Linked DNA regions of Oryctolagus cuniculus. The protein of the gene in region 2 interacts with the protein of the main gene of each other region in a pairwise test. Links are inferred from orthologs where the notes say so. Each region holds a gene or a part of one and is shown on either strand. Other genes may lie near its edges. The genes, in order: C7H1orf216, AMOT and PTPA.

Region 1 (4,435 bases), on a different chromosome or scaffold from region 2:
CACAGCAGCCTGGCCACAGGGCAGCAGGCACACGCCTGGCAGCTCCTTGTCATCCCCTCCCCTTGGCTGGGCTCGCACTGCCCCTGCTGGTCCCCACCTCCCTCACTGCTCCTTTGCAGTAGCCTGCACAGCGTGTTTTTCAGCGCTCCGAGGCAGGCTGCCTTTTCGTTCTACACGCTTCTCCCCAGATGACCCGGCTGTGGGCTGCAGCTTTGGGAATCATCATATGCTGGTAACTCTCCAATCTGTCTCCAGCCCAGATCCAACTGTTACCCAGCCCTGCAGCCACCCACAGGCCCCTGGAAATCTCCCAGTCCCAGCCAGCTCCCATCTTCGTGTCCTCAGCAAGACGGCTCTGCTCCCTGTTCAGCCACCCCAGCCAGAGCCCGGAAGCATCCTGGAATAAGCATTTTCCTTCCGTCCCTCATCTCTTATCAATCACCAAATTCAGACAATTCTTCCTCTTCAATTTCGTTTGGCTCAGGCCATTTTTTACCTGGACTAGTGCCACAGCCTTTTCACTAATCTCTCTTCCTGTGGCTAAACATGTAAATTTGGGGGCTCAACGTGGTTGCACAGCAGGTGAAGCTGTTGTGGCAATGCTGGCATCCCATATCAGAAAGCTGGTTCAAGTCCCAGCTGCTCTACTTCCAATCCAGTTTCCTGTTAATGCATCTGGGAAGGCCGTGGAAGATGGCCCAAGTACTTGGGCCCCTACCACTCACATAGGGACCAGGATGGAGTTCCTGGCTCCAGGCTTCAGCTTGGCCCAGCCCTGGCTGTTGCAGCCATTTGGAGAGTGAACTAGTAGACAGAAGATTGGTATTTCTCTCTTCTCTCTGTCACTGACTTTTTTTTTTTTTTTTTTTTTTGGACAGGCAGAGTGGACAGTGAGAGAGAGAGACAGAGAGAAAGGTCTTCCTTTTGCCGTTGGTTCACCCTCCAATGGCCGCCACGGCCGGCGCACCGCACTGATCTGATGGCAGGAGCCAGGTGCTTCTCCTGGTCTTCCATGGGGTGCAGGGCCCAAGCACCTGGGCCATCCTCCACTGCACTCCCTGGCCACAGCAGAGAGCTGGCCTGGAAGAGGGGCAACCGGGACAGAATCCGGCGCCCCGACCGGGACTAGAACCCGGTGTGCCGGCACCGCAGGCAGAGGATTAGCCTAGTGAGCCGCGGCGCCGGCCATGTCACTGCCTTTCAAATAAATAAATGAATTTTTTAAAAAAGATTTATTTAATTATTTGAAAGGCAGAGTTAGAGAGAGAGAGAGAGAGAGACACCTTCCATCCGCTGGTTCACTCCCCAGATGGCTGCAATGGCCGGAGCTGTGGCAATCTGAAGCCAGGAGCCAGGAGCTTCTTCCAGGTCACCCATGAGGGTGCAGGGGCCCAAGGCCTTGGGCCATCTTCCACTGCTTTCCCAGGCCACAGCAGAGAGCTGGATTGGAAGTGGAGCAGCCGGGTCTCAAACCAGCGCCCATATGGGATGCTGGCACTGCAGGCGGTGGCTTTACCCGCTATGCCACAATGCCAGCCCCATAAATAAATGAATTTTAAAATGCAAATTTAAAAATTGAGTGAGTACTGTTCCTGAACTCCTCTTAAAGATCTACATGGCCTAATGGCCCTGAGCACCCGCACCCTGCCTCCCATCACATCCGACTGCTCCAGGAGCTCAAGATCCACTATTGTTGCGCTCCACTATGGCTCTGGCCTGCAGTGCCTGCCTCTCCCTTCCCCTCTAAGCTCCTCCCTCTCCACCCGGCAAATGCTCTGAGGCCTGCCTGAGAATCCCCCCTCCATCTGCCCCGCCCTTAATAAATGTAAACACAGTTCCTCATGCCTTCCTCCAGCTCCCCCCATCACGCTCCTGGAGCAAGCACTGAGGTGCCACGCCCGATGCGCCATCCCTCTTCCCCCACCACCTGCATCCTGGCCCTAGTTTGCCCCATCCGGAGTTCCAGGAGGGAGTGCAAAGGGCATCCCTCTTCCTAGCAGGGCTTCCACCAAAATCCCGGTCTGAACTGAGAAGAGGTTTCTCCCGACCACGACCACACACTTACTCCCAGGACAGGGAAACCGGAGGGTCACTAAGGGGTACAAGGTAAGGGCAGCAGGCCCCAGGGGGACCCCTAAGGTGGCACAGGCTCTTCCCACAGTTGGGAGAGGGCAGAAGGCCTGGAAGGATCCAGTGGGAACGATTCCCGCGGTGACCTGCGGACCCCCAGGCCTCCCACCAAAGTGTGCACTTAGGTGCCTGGAGCCTCCCCCGAGTCTTTTTCCTAAGCAGGCTGGAATGGGCTGGTGGTGGCGCTGAGGATCCTGGGTTCTCAGCGATAGTAAAATGGGGATCAGACCCCGGCCCCACCCCCAGTTAATCCGCAATTTGCCAGGGCCGGGAGCAGCGGCGGCCGCCCTTCCTTCCTGGCGCTGCCGGAGACGTCCCCCGGGGAATAGGGCAGAGGCCGTCCCCGCAGAGCTCCGCGGAGGGGCCGCTGGGCGCGGGCTGCAGCCCCCAGCCCCCGGCCCCCGCGGCGGGGCCCCCAGTCCTCCCCCTCGGCCCGGACTCACGGCCTGGAGGCGCCCGCTCCGGCGCAGCTGGCTCTGGTTCCGGCGCGCCCCGCTCGGCCTGGGGGTGTCTCGCCCGGGCTTTCCCGCGGCCCGGGCCCGGACTGCGGCTGCTGGCGGCGTCTGCGCGGCGGGGCGGGGTTGGGGCGGCCCACGTGGGCCGGTTCGGTTCTGCGTGGGAGCCTTGCGCGGGGCCCCTGCGCCGCAGCCGCCTCCCCCGCGCCGGCTGCTCAAGGCCAGGCCTTCCAGGTCTGGCTGTCGCCTAACGGCGCTCGCTGGGCCCCTCCTTCCTCGAGGCTGTGGCACGCACCGCAGCCTCTGCCTGAAATGTTGTCTCCTGGCTAGGCTTCCCCACATTTCAGATCTGAGAAACCTTCTGTGATCCCCGAGACAAGACTGGTCCCCCGCTTTGTATCATCTCAGAGCACTTATGTTCCTTTGATCAAAATCTGGAATTTTATATTAATTGTGTGCACATCTGATTCATCATTAATGAAAGCTACTTTAAAAAATTATTTAGGGGCCTCAGCGGCCATTTGGGGAGTGAACCAACGGAAGGAAGACCTTTCTGTCTCTCACTATCATTCTGTCAAATAAATTAAAAAAAAATTTAAAAAGTGCACGCCCCATATAAAAAATTATTTATGTATTTGAAAGGCAGAGTTCCAGAGAGGGAGAGAAGAGATCCAGCCCCCAAATGGCCGTGGCCACAATGGTGGAGCCAGGAGCCTGAAACTCTATTTGGGTCTGCCACTTGAGTGGCAGGGGTCCAAGCCCTTGGGACGTCCTTTGCTGCTTTCCCAGGTACATTAGCAGGGAGCCTGATTTGAAGTGGAGCAGCAGGGACTCCGCCAGCCTTCCTATGGATCTTGGCATTGCAGGCCTGGGCTTACCCCACTGCGCCACAAAGCCAGACTGAAGGCTACTTTTTTTTTTTTTTTTTTTTTTTTTTTTTAATATGCTGTGGCGTATTGGGTAAAGCCACCGCCTGCAATGCCGGCATCCCATATAGGTGTTGGTTCGAGTCTCCGCTGCTCCACTTCTGATCTAGCTCTCTGCTATGACCTGGGAAAGCAGTAGAAGATAGCCCAAGTCCTGGGCCCCTGTACCCACGTGGGAGACCCGGAGGAAGCTCCTGGCTCCTGGCTTCAGATCTGTGCAGCTCTGGCCATTGCAGCAACTTGGGGAATGAAGCAGGAATGAAAGACACACACACACTCTCTCTCTCTCTCTGCCTCTCCTTCTCTCTCTGTGTAACTCTAACTTTCAAATAAATAAATAAATCTTTAAAAAAAAAATAGAAAGAGTCCCCTGGGACAGAGCTCAGGTTGCAGAGAATTCCTGCTAGGCACAGACGCCCTCCGTGGCGCCTGCACAGTGGGTTCCTGTGCAGTTGCCCATGTGCACAGATGTAACTGGATAAGAAAGTCCTCGGTCCCAAGCTGGAGTAGCTTGTCAGAGTTCCACTCACTGACCCTGATCCCTGTCACTCCCTTCCTCCTTGTAGTACGTGTGTAGAGAGCTCAGTTTGCAATTAGAGAACAGAGTCATTTCTGACCCTATGAAGCATCCTCTTCCGGTTCCCACGTGATTCTGACTCACCATTCTACAACCTGGAGACCCGATGGCACATCGCACCACACCAACAAACCTACATGCAAAAGCAGGGGAACTGGAGAGAAAAAATTATGATCACAACAACTGCGATTTTAAAACAGAATAGGGGATAGAAGGCAAAAGTCAAAGTTTGGGTAACAGCTAAGAGAATATAGGTGGTGACTTCAGCCCCATTCATACCCAGGCCCTAAGGCCATGTCTCCTCCCCTTTCCCTCCCCTTTCCCCTTCCCCTCCCTTTCCCCTTTCC
Region 2 (2,597 bases):
ACAAGGCACTGCACAAGAGGCAAGATAAGAATTGTCAGCTCCCTGGACAAACTACTCAAGCCAAGGACATTTTACAAAACACAGATGCCTTGGACCATGAAGATGTCTTTTTCTTAAAATGGGCTCTTTTTCCGTGTATAAGGGTTTCCCAAAATCAGCATGGTAATTGGCAGTGTGGACAGCAGTGCTGTGTGATCTTGAAAAAGTCACCGAACCTCTCTAAGTCTCAGATTCTCATCACTAAAATTAGAGGGAAGGGCTATGTTGCTTAAGTTCCTTCCCATCACTATGGCTCATGATACAATATATCAGGCCTATTCTTCTATTAATCTGGTTTCTAATATATCCCAAAACTTCTATCCCCACCCTTACCTAACAATGCCCCTTCACCCTTCCTATACCCCTGAAAACTGAACTTAATGACACTGTCTGCAGATTTGTCCCCTTAATGAAGGGCAGAGAGGTGACACAGGGCAGGGGCCTGTGGCAAGTAGCACCCTCTGTGTCATTGGAGACAGACTGGCAAGGCTTGCAGCCACTGCCTCCTTTGGTCCCCGCCCACATACACATTTCCCACTGCTTCCCAAAGCTATTTCAAGGAATCCCTGGCAATGAGAAGAGGCAACTGAGAAGACCACACAATCCACCTCTCCTCTGTCTGCACCATAGTACTTTGGCCTTCTAGTGCTATTCCCTTGGAGGCGATAGTCAAATACACTAAGAAACTGGAAAAACAGAATGAATTATTTCAAAACAGTCACCAGAAATTTAAAGCGTTCAACTTGTCAACAAAAACGCTCTCTCATTTTGCAAACTATTGGCAATTTGGGACTAGTAAGTAATCCAGCTAGTGAACCTATGCTATAGAAGAAATAAATACTAAGCTGATTGTTCTCACAAAAGGCAGACAAGCTGTGTTCATGGCTATAACAATCTACACACAGCACCTCATGCAACTCTCCATAGAGGCCTTGGATGCCTAACTCCCCTAGGAGAGAGGAAGTTGCATATCACTCAGTTAATTTACTCTCCTAGCATCTGAAAGCAATATATTAATTATCCAAATGCATAAATTACTTCAGAATATATATATATATATACACACACACACATATATATATATATATATATATGAATGTATGAACCTCCAGGAGGGAACCAAAAGAACCCACTTCCAAAGCACCACTGAAATGAAGATCAACACAATCCCTTGGGGCAAGGTAGCTGGGAAACTGAGAGGGAAAATTAGCTCTAGCATCTTTCTGTATCCCAGTGCTCCCCACCTGTTCTCCAGCTTACATAAGCTCTTAAAACTATTCCCTTTCATGAGCCTGAGGTGAGAGCTTTCTCTGGCTGCTATCCAGTTGGTAACTGCACAAAACAGCACACACATGAACTCTCTCTGGCTTTCCATGTCTGCACTACATGTTATACACTGTCTTTCACACATGCTGTGCTCTTCAATAGAAAATAATCTGGAAGAGGGAAATTTTAAACAAATTTAAGCACACTGAAAACATCACTGTATATCCACCTGGTAACAGTCCCAGTTTTGTACTAATGCAAACAACAGACTTCAGAACACATTCTGATGAGTCTGTCTTTAGAGGTACTTTCGGAGTATACCAGAATAGACTGAAGTTCATATGGTATTACTTAAGTACTATATTGTTCCAATAAAAAGTCCCTTTAGAAAACATACCCACCCCCCAACCCTTATCCTCACCCTAAAAATAAGAACAAACAAAAGGGGGAAATGATTAAAAGCATTGTTTCTGATAAACTCCAGCTCTTGATAAGGTCATTTAGATGAGATATTCCACCATCTCTGCTTCAGGCTCTTGTCCCAGGATCTGAAGGGGTGCTTTTCTTTCCAGAGTATTGGAGTGGAAAACAGGGCCATCTGAATGAAAATAAGGTGTTGAAGATACTTATAAGGATATTTAAAAAGCTCAATTTTCTAGAAACAGACAGCATTAGAGCCCTCGTGGAGGTAAGGGTAAATTGAGCCTTGAGTGCCACCCCCTCACCCCCATTTACTTCTACTGGGAAAATGGCTTCTACTCATGCCCATTCCTGTCTCAGTGGAAGAGAAATCATCTGTAGACCCTCTCCCCTCCTCTAATGGCTCCCCATTACAACATGAAGGGCTCAGTCCAGATGACCATCTCTGCCTGAGCAGCAGGTACCCACAAATCAACCTGCGTTTTGAGAGCCGTACCAAAAGCTCCCTGCTGTAGAGAATTATTACCTGTCTTATCTGAATTGCAAGTCAAACTTGGTATAGACAAACGACGTGATCCAGAACCAGTGGCTGGACTTGCAGGAGCCTCAGCCTGAGCCAAAGCTGGAGCTGGAGCTGGAGATGCAGGAGGAGCCACAGTCGGAGCAGGAGTTGGTGCCTGAGTCTGAGTCGGAGCAGAAGCCTGAGCCACTGCTGGGGCCAGAGCCGGGGCTGGAACTGGAGCTAGAACCGGAGCCGGAGCAGCTGGAGCAACCTGAACTGCAACAGCAGCAACAGCAGCAACAGGAGCAAGAGCAGCAGCAGGAGCAGCAGTGGCGGTGGTGGCAGAGGCAGCAGCTGGCATCTGAGCAGC
Region 3 (4,361 bases), on a different chromosome or scaffold from region 2:
CTGCTGCCTCCTGCGCTCCCGCCGACTTTCTGAGCTGCCCAGTTGGCTGCCTCCACGCGAGCTGCCCTGGCAGCCCCGGTGGCCGTCTGGTAAACCCGAGGAGAGCGTTTAAGTGTCGGCCACCACGGGCATGGGACTCAGAAAAACAGGGAGAGGCAGTGCCGGTTCAAGCCGCGCGTCTCCACCTCCCGCTCGGTCTAGGGGTGCGTGCGGAGGCCCGCGTCCTCGCTGTCTTTTCCGGGTCGCTGGAACTGCGCGCCGCGGGACGCGAGTTCGATCCGGCCCTGACCTTGCGCCTCCACCCCCTCCTCTGCCACACCGGGGTTGGGGGGGATCCCCCTGCAGGCCCCGCCCCAGCCAGAGCCCCCGGCCGCGCCGCTCCCAGGCCCGCGCCCCGACCGGCGCAGTGGCGCAGCCGGCCCGGCCGGGGCCCTCCCGCCCGGACTCCGTCCGCACTCACCATGGTCCTGGCGGCAAAGGCTAACATCTTTGCTGTCTGCCCGCGGACGCGCAGGCCGCTCCGCCCACCAAACCGGGCAAAGTCCGCTTGGCTGCTGCGGCCGGTGGGTCCCCGCTAGAGCTTCAGGGCCAAGGTCGCCGAGTCACCGCCACCAGCCGGTAGAGGCGGCCCCGCGCCCACCCACCGGGCCGGTCGGGCGGCGGGCGGACGGCCCGGGGAGGACACCGGGGCGGGGCCTTGGTCACGGAGCCCCGGGCGGCTAGCCGCGAGCCCGGGGCGGGGCCACGGCAGGCGGGGGCGGGGCCAACAGCGGGCCCGGGGCGGGGCCACCTTGGGGAGGGGCCAATAGCGAGCCCAGGGCGGGGCCAACAGCGGGCTCGGGGCAGGGCCACTGCGGGGAGGGGCCAATAGCGAGCCCGGGGCGGGGCCACGGCAGGAGGGGCGGGGCCAACAGCGGGCTAGGGTGGGGCCACTGCGGGGCGGGGCCACGGCGGGCGGGGAGGCGAGCGGCGCGCAGCTAGCGGTTGTGCGACACCGTGGAGCGCTGGGGCTGAGGCAGAGGGGTAAGGCGAGGTCAGGGTTCAGCTCTTCCCCCCGCCTCCAAATGCCATTGAAGCTGTGCGCCCTCATAGGCGGCAGGAAGACACAGGGTGACGGGAATGTCCTCTGACATTCTTTAGATTAAGATGACAGCCGGGACCGGCTCCCAGAAACATGGCTGCTGCACCCCCCTTAACCCCTCCACAAAAACTTGACACCCGCGAAAGTACGGCTGCCGGGCGGGCCATTAGCGGTCGAGCAGCGGCCCGGCAGTTGGGGCGCAGTGCGCATGCTCCCGGGCGCCCCGCACTGACATGGCGGCCCCTCAGTGCGCATGCTCCGCAGGCGCCCCGCACTGACATGGCGGCCGCCCGTCGTCGCCGCGGCCGTCGCGAGCCGGCCGTTGCTGGGCATGCTCGCTGAGCGCCCGGCACCAGCATGGCGGTCGTCTCGGCGGGGGTGACTTTAATTCTCGGTTTTCGGTGATAGCAGACCGGCGCTCGTTGCTCTCCGGAAAACTCGGAGCCCGTGGCAGAGCCGGGGACCTGAAGAGCGGGTGCGGGGTGAACGCCGAGAGGGGACTGCGGGCGCCGCGCCGGCTCCGCGGAAGATGGCTGAGGGCGAGCGGCAGCCGCCGCCAGGTAGGGCCGTGGTGTGGGGCGCAGCCGGGAGGGGCTCGGGGGCGCGGGGCTCGGGGGCGCCGGCCGGGCGGCGGGGCTCGGGGGCGGCGGGTGCGGGGGCCTTCGGCGCGCCTGCCCCGGCGGAGGAGTTAGCCGGAGCCCGGCGGCTGCCCGGTTTATGAGCGCCGCTGGGGCCGGGGCCGGTCGCTGCCCTCCGCCCCCAGGCCCGGGGCCGGGCTCTGGGGTTTATGGAGAGAAACTGCCCCGGGTGTGCAAACCTCTCGTTTATAGGAAGGCGGGTTGAGCAAGACAGAGACTCGCCGCGGGCATCAGGGCCTCTGAGCTGTGTTTGCACTGGGGCCTCGGCCGGCGGGCTGGCCTTAGGGGACCCCGGCCTCGTGCGGGAGAGGGAGGTGGGCGGCCCGCGACCCCTGCCCGGCCTGGCATTCCCTGGGCGCTGCGAGAGGCCTCCGGAGGGCGAGGCGCCCCCCAGCTCCCCAGGAGGAGAGCGATAGACAGACCCGGGTCTGGGCTGTGCGGGCTCTGCAGGCTGGGGTCGCGGCTGCCTTGGGCCGAGCCCCCCGTGCAGGTGCAGCGCGGGCGGGAGGCCCCCAGGGCCCCGCACTGCCCGGAACGAGAGAGAACAGATTCTCCTGGACCCGGCTCTGCCGCGGTGGGGGCTCGGCGATGGGTCGCGGTCCGAGTCCCCGGGGGCTTGGGGAGCGTGTCTGCAGCTCGGGTCTCCGTCTGAGTGACTTCCAGGCCGTCCTGGAAGGACACAGGTTCCTGCCCCGGGAGTGTGCATTGAGGCATCTGAGGCGTTGGTCGGTGCAGGGCCTCCCGGAGGGCCTGGCCTGGACGTGTCCCCCCCGCCCCCCCACGCTGCTGGCCTTGCCCACAGGAGCCGTTCTCACGCCGGCCGAGACCGGAGGCCTCTGCCCCGCAGCGTTTGGAGCTGGGTGCGGGGGACGTGGAGCGCGTTTTCCCATAACAGCATCGTGCAGGTTACCGCCTGGCCTACAAAGCTTTTTATGTAGCATCCTGCCTGAAGTAGCAATTTACTAATAGTAGGGGCCTTAATTTGGGTTCTGGGAACAAGGTTTGCCGGCCAGGAGGCGGGGAGAGAGCTTCCGGTCCCTCTTGCTGGGGCCCTGGTGTGCCGGTGCCCTGCCCTTCTCCCACACGGGGTCCCCTCGGTCTCCCGGGTGTGCCTGTGCCCGGCCCTTCTCCCGCACGGGCCCCCTCTGTGTCCTGGGTGTGCCTGTGCCCGGCACTTCTCCCGCACGGGGTCCCCTCAGTGTCCCGGGTGTGCCTGTGCCCGGCCCTTCTCCCGCACGGGATCCCCTCGGTCTCCCGGGTGTGCCTGTGCCCTGCCCTTCTCCCGCACGGGGTCCCCTCGGTCTCCCGGGTGTGCCTGTGCCCTGCCCTTCTCCCGCACGGGGTCCCCTCGGTCTCCCGGGTGTGCCTGTGCCCTGCCCTTCTCCCGCACGGGGTCCCCTCGGTCTCCCGGGTGTGCCTGTGCCCTGCCCTTCTCCCGCACGGGGTCCCCTCGGTCTCCCGGGTGTGCCTGTGCCCTGCCCTTCTCCCGCACGGGGTCCCCTCGGTCTCCCGGGTGTGCCTGTGCCCTGCCCTTCTCCCGCACGGGGTCCCCTCGGTCTCCCGGGTGTGCCTGTGCCCGGCCCTTCTCCCGCACGGGGTCCCCTCGGTGTCCCGGGTGTGCCTGTGCCCGGCCCTTGTCCCGCACGGGGTCCCCTCTGTGTCCCGGGTGTGCCTGTGCCCGGCCCTTCTCCCGCATGGGGTCTGCTCTGTGTCCCGGGTGTGCCTGTGCCCGGCCCTTCTCCCGCACGGGGTCTCCTCTGTGTCCCGGGTGTGCCCGTGCCCGGCCCTTCTCCCGCACGGGGTCGCCATCGGTCTCCAGCGCGTCTAGTGTTTTTCCTTTCCTCATGGCCTCCCTGGAGCCCCAGGTGTCACATATTCCAGAACCTTCTTAGGTTGCTGTCTCTTTTTTCCGTGGTTGGTGTCATTTAGGTTTGAGGAGGAGGGTGGTGGAGCAGACTCCTGCACCTGTGTCTGGGGCCCTGTGCGCCCCTGCAGACGTGCGTCTTCGCAGGAAGTGCACTTCGCCAGCTGCAGACTCGGGCCACAGCTCCCTGTCCTCCCTGTGCAGAACCCGTGGGCCCAGCTGCACCCTGGGATTCGGCTTTTCCTGGTTCAGAAAGCAGCACCCCATCAGCACAGACGAGATTACCCGAGCCAGAGGTGCGCACATCTGCACAGTGAGGTGCCGGCGCTCCTCAGTGCTTCAGTCTCTGTGCCGAGTGAACGTGGGACAGACGCACTGAACACACTCTGTGCCGAGTGAACGTGGGACAGACGCACTGAACACACTCTGTGCCGAGTGAACGTGGGACAGACGCACTGAACACACTCTGTGCCGAGTGAACGTGGGACAGACGCACTGAACACACTCTGTGCCGAGTGAACGTGGGACAGACGCACTGAACACACTCTGTGCCGAGTGAACGTGGGACAGACGCGCTGAGCACACTCTGTGCCGAGTGAACGTGGGACAGACGCACTGAACACACTCTGTGCCGAGTGAACGTGGGACAGACGCGCTGAGCACACTCTGTGCCGAGTGAACGTGGGACAGACGCACTGAACACACTTTGGGCGTCAGAGCTTCTTGGACGTGGGGTTATGAATCAGGAGTTGAGGGCTTATACTTACCAGGGTCCTAA

The links.
Region 1: the proteins of AMOT (region 2) and C7H1orf216 interact in binary tests that used the Homo sapiens proteins (3 or more experiments, as listed by UniProt). The two-hybrid records come from large-scale screens. The link is inferred for Oryctolagus cuniculus from reciprocal best matches to the Homo sapiens genes AMOT and C1orf216.
Region 3: the proteins of AMOT (region 2) and PTPA interact in binary tests that used the Homo sapiens proteins (3 or more experiments, as listed by UniProt). The two-hybrid records come from large-scale screens. The link is inferred for Oryctolagus cuniculus from reciprocal best matches to the Homo sapiens genes AMOT and PTPA.

What each region holds. Positions count from the first base shown.
Region 1 is NC_091438.1:136,912,677-136,917,111, reverse strand, and holds the start of C7H1orf216 (UPF0500 protein C1orf216 homolog), read right to left. Parts: upstream 2,825-4,435; 5' UTR 2,574-2,824; intron 1-2,573.
Region 2 is NC_091453.1:80,576,990-80,579,586, reverse strand, and holds part of AMOT (angiomotin), read right to left. Parts: coding exon 2,252-2,597; intron 1,904-2,251; coding exon 1,806-1,903; 3' UTR 1-1,805.
Region 3 is NC_091432.1:232,229,104-232,233,464, forward strand, and holds the start of PTPA (serine/threonine-protein phosphatase 2A activator), read left to right. Parts: upstream 1-1,524; 5' UTR 1,525-1,610; coding exon 1,611-1,641; intron 1,642-4,361. Other genes in the region: CRAT (carnitine O-acetyltransferase), read right to left, coding at 461-487. UniProt on the Homo sapiens protein: PPIases accelerate the folding of proteins. It catalyzes the cis-trans isomerization of proline imidic peptide bonds in oligopeptides. Acts as a regulatory subunit for serine/threonine-protein phosphatase 2A (PP2A).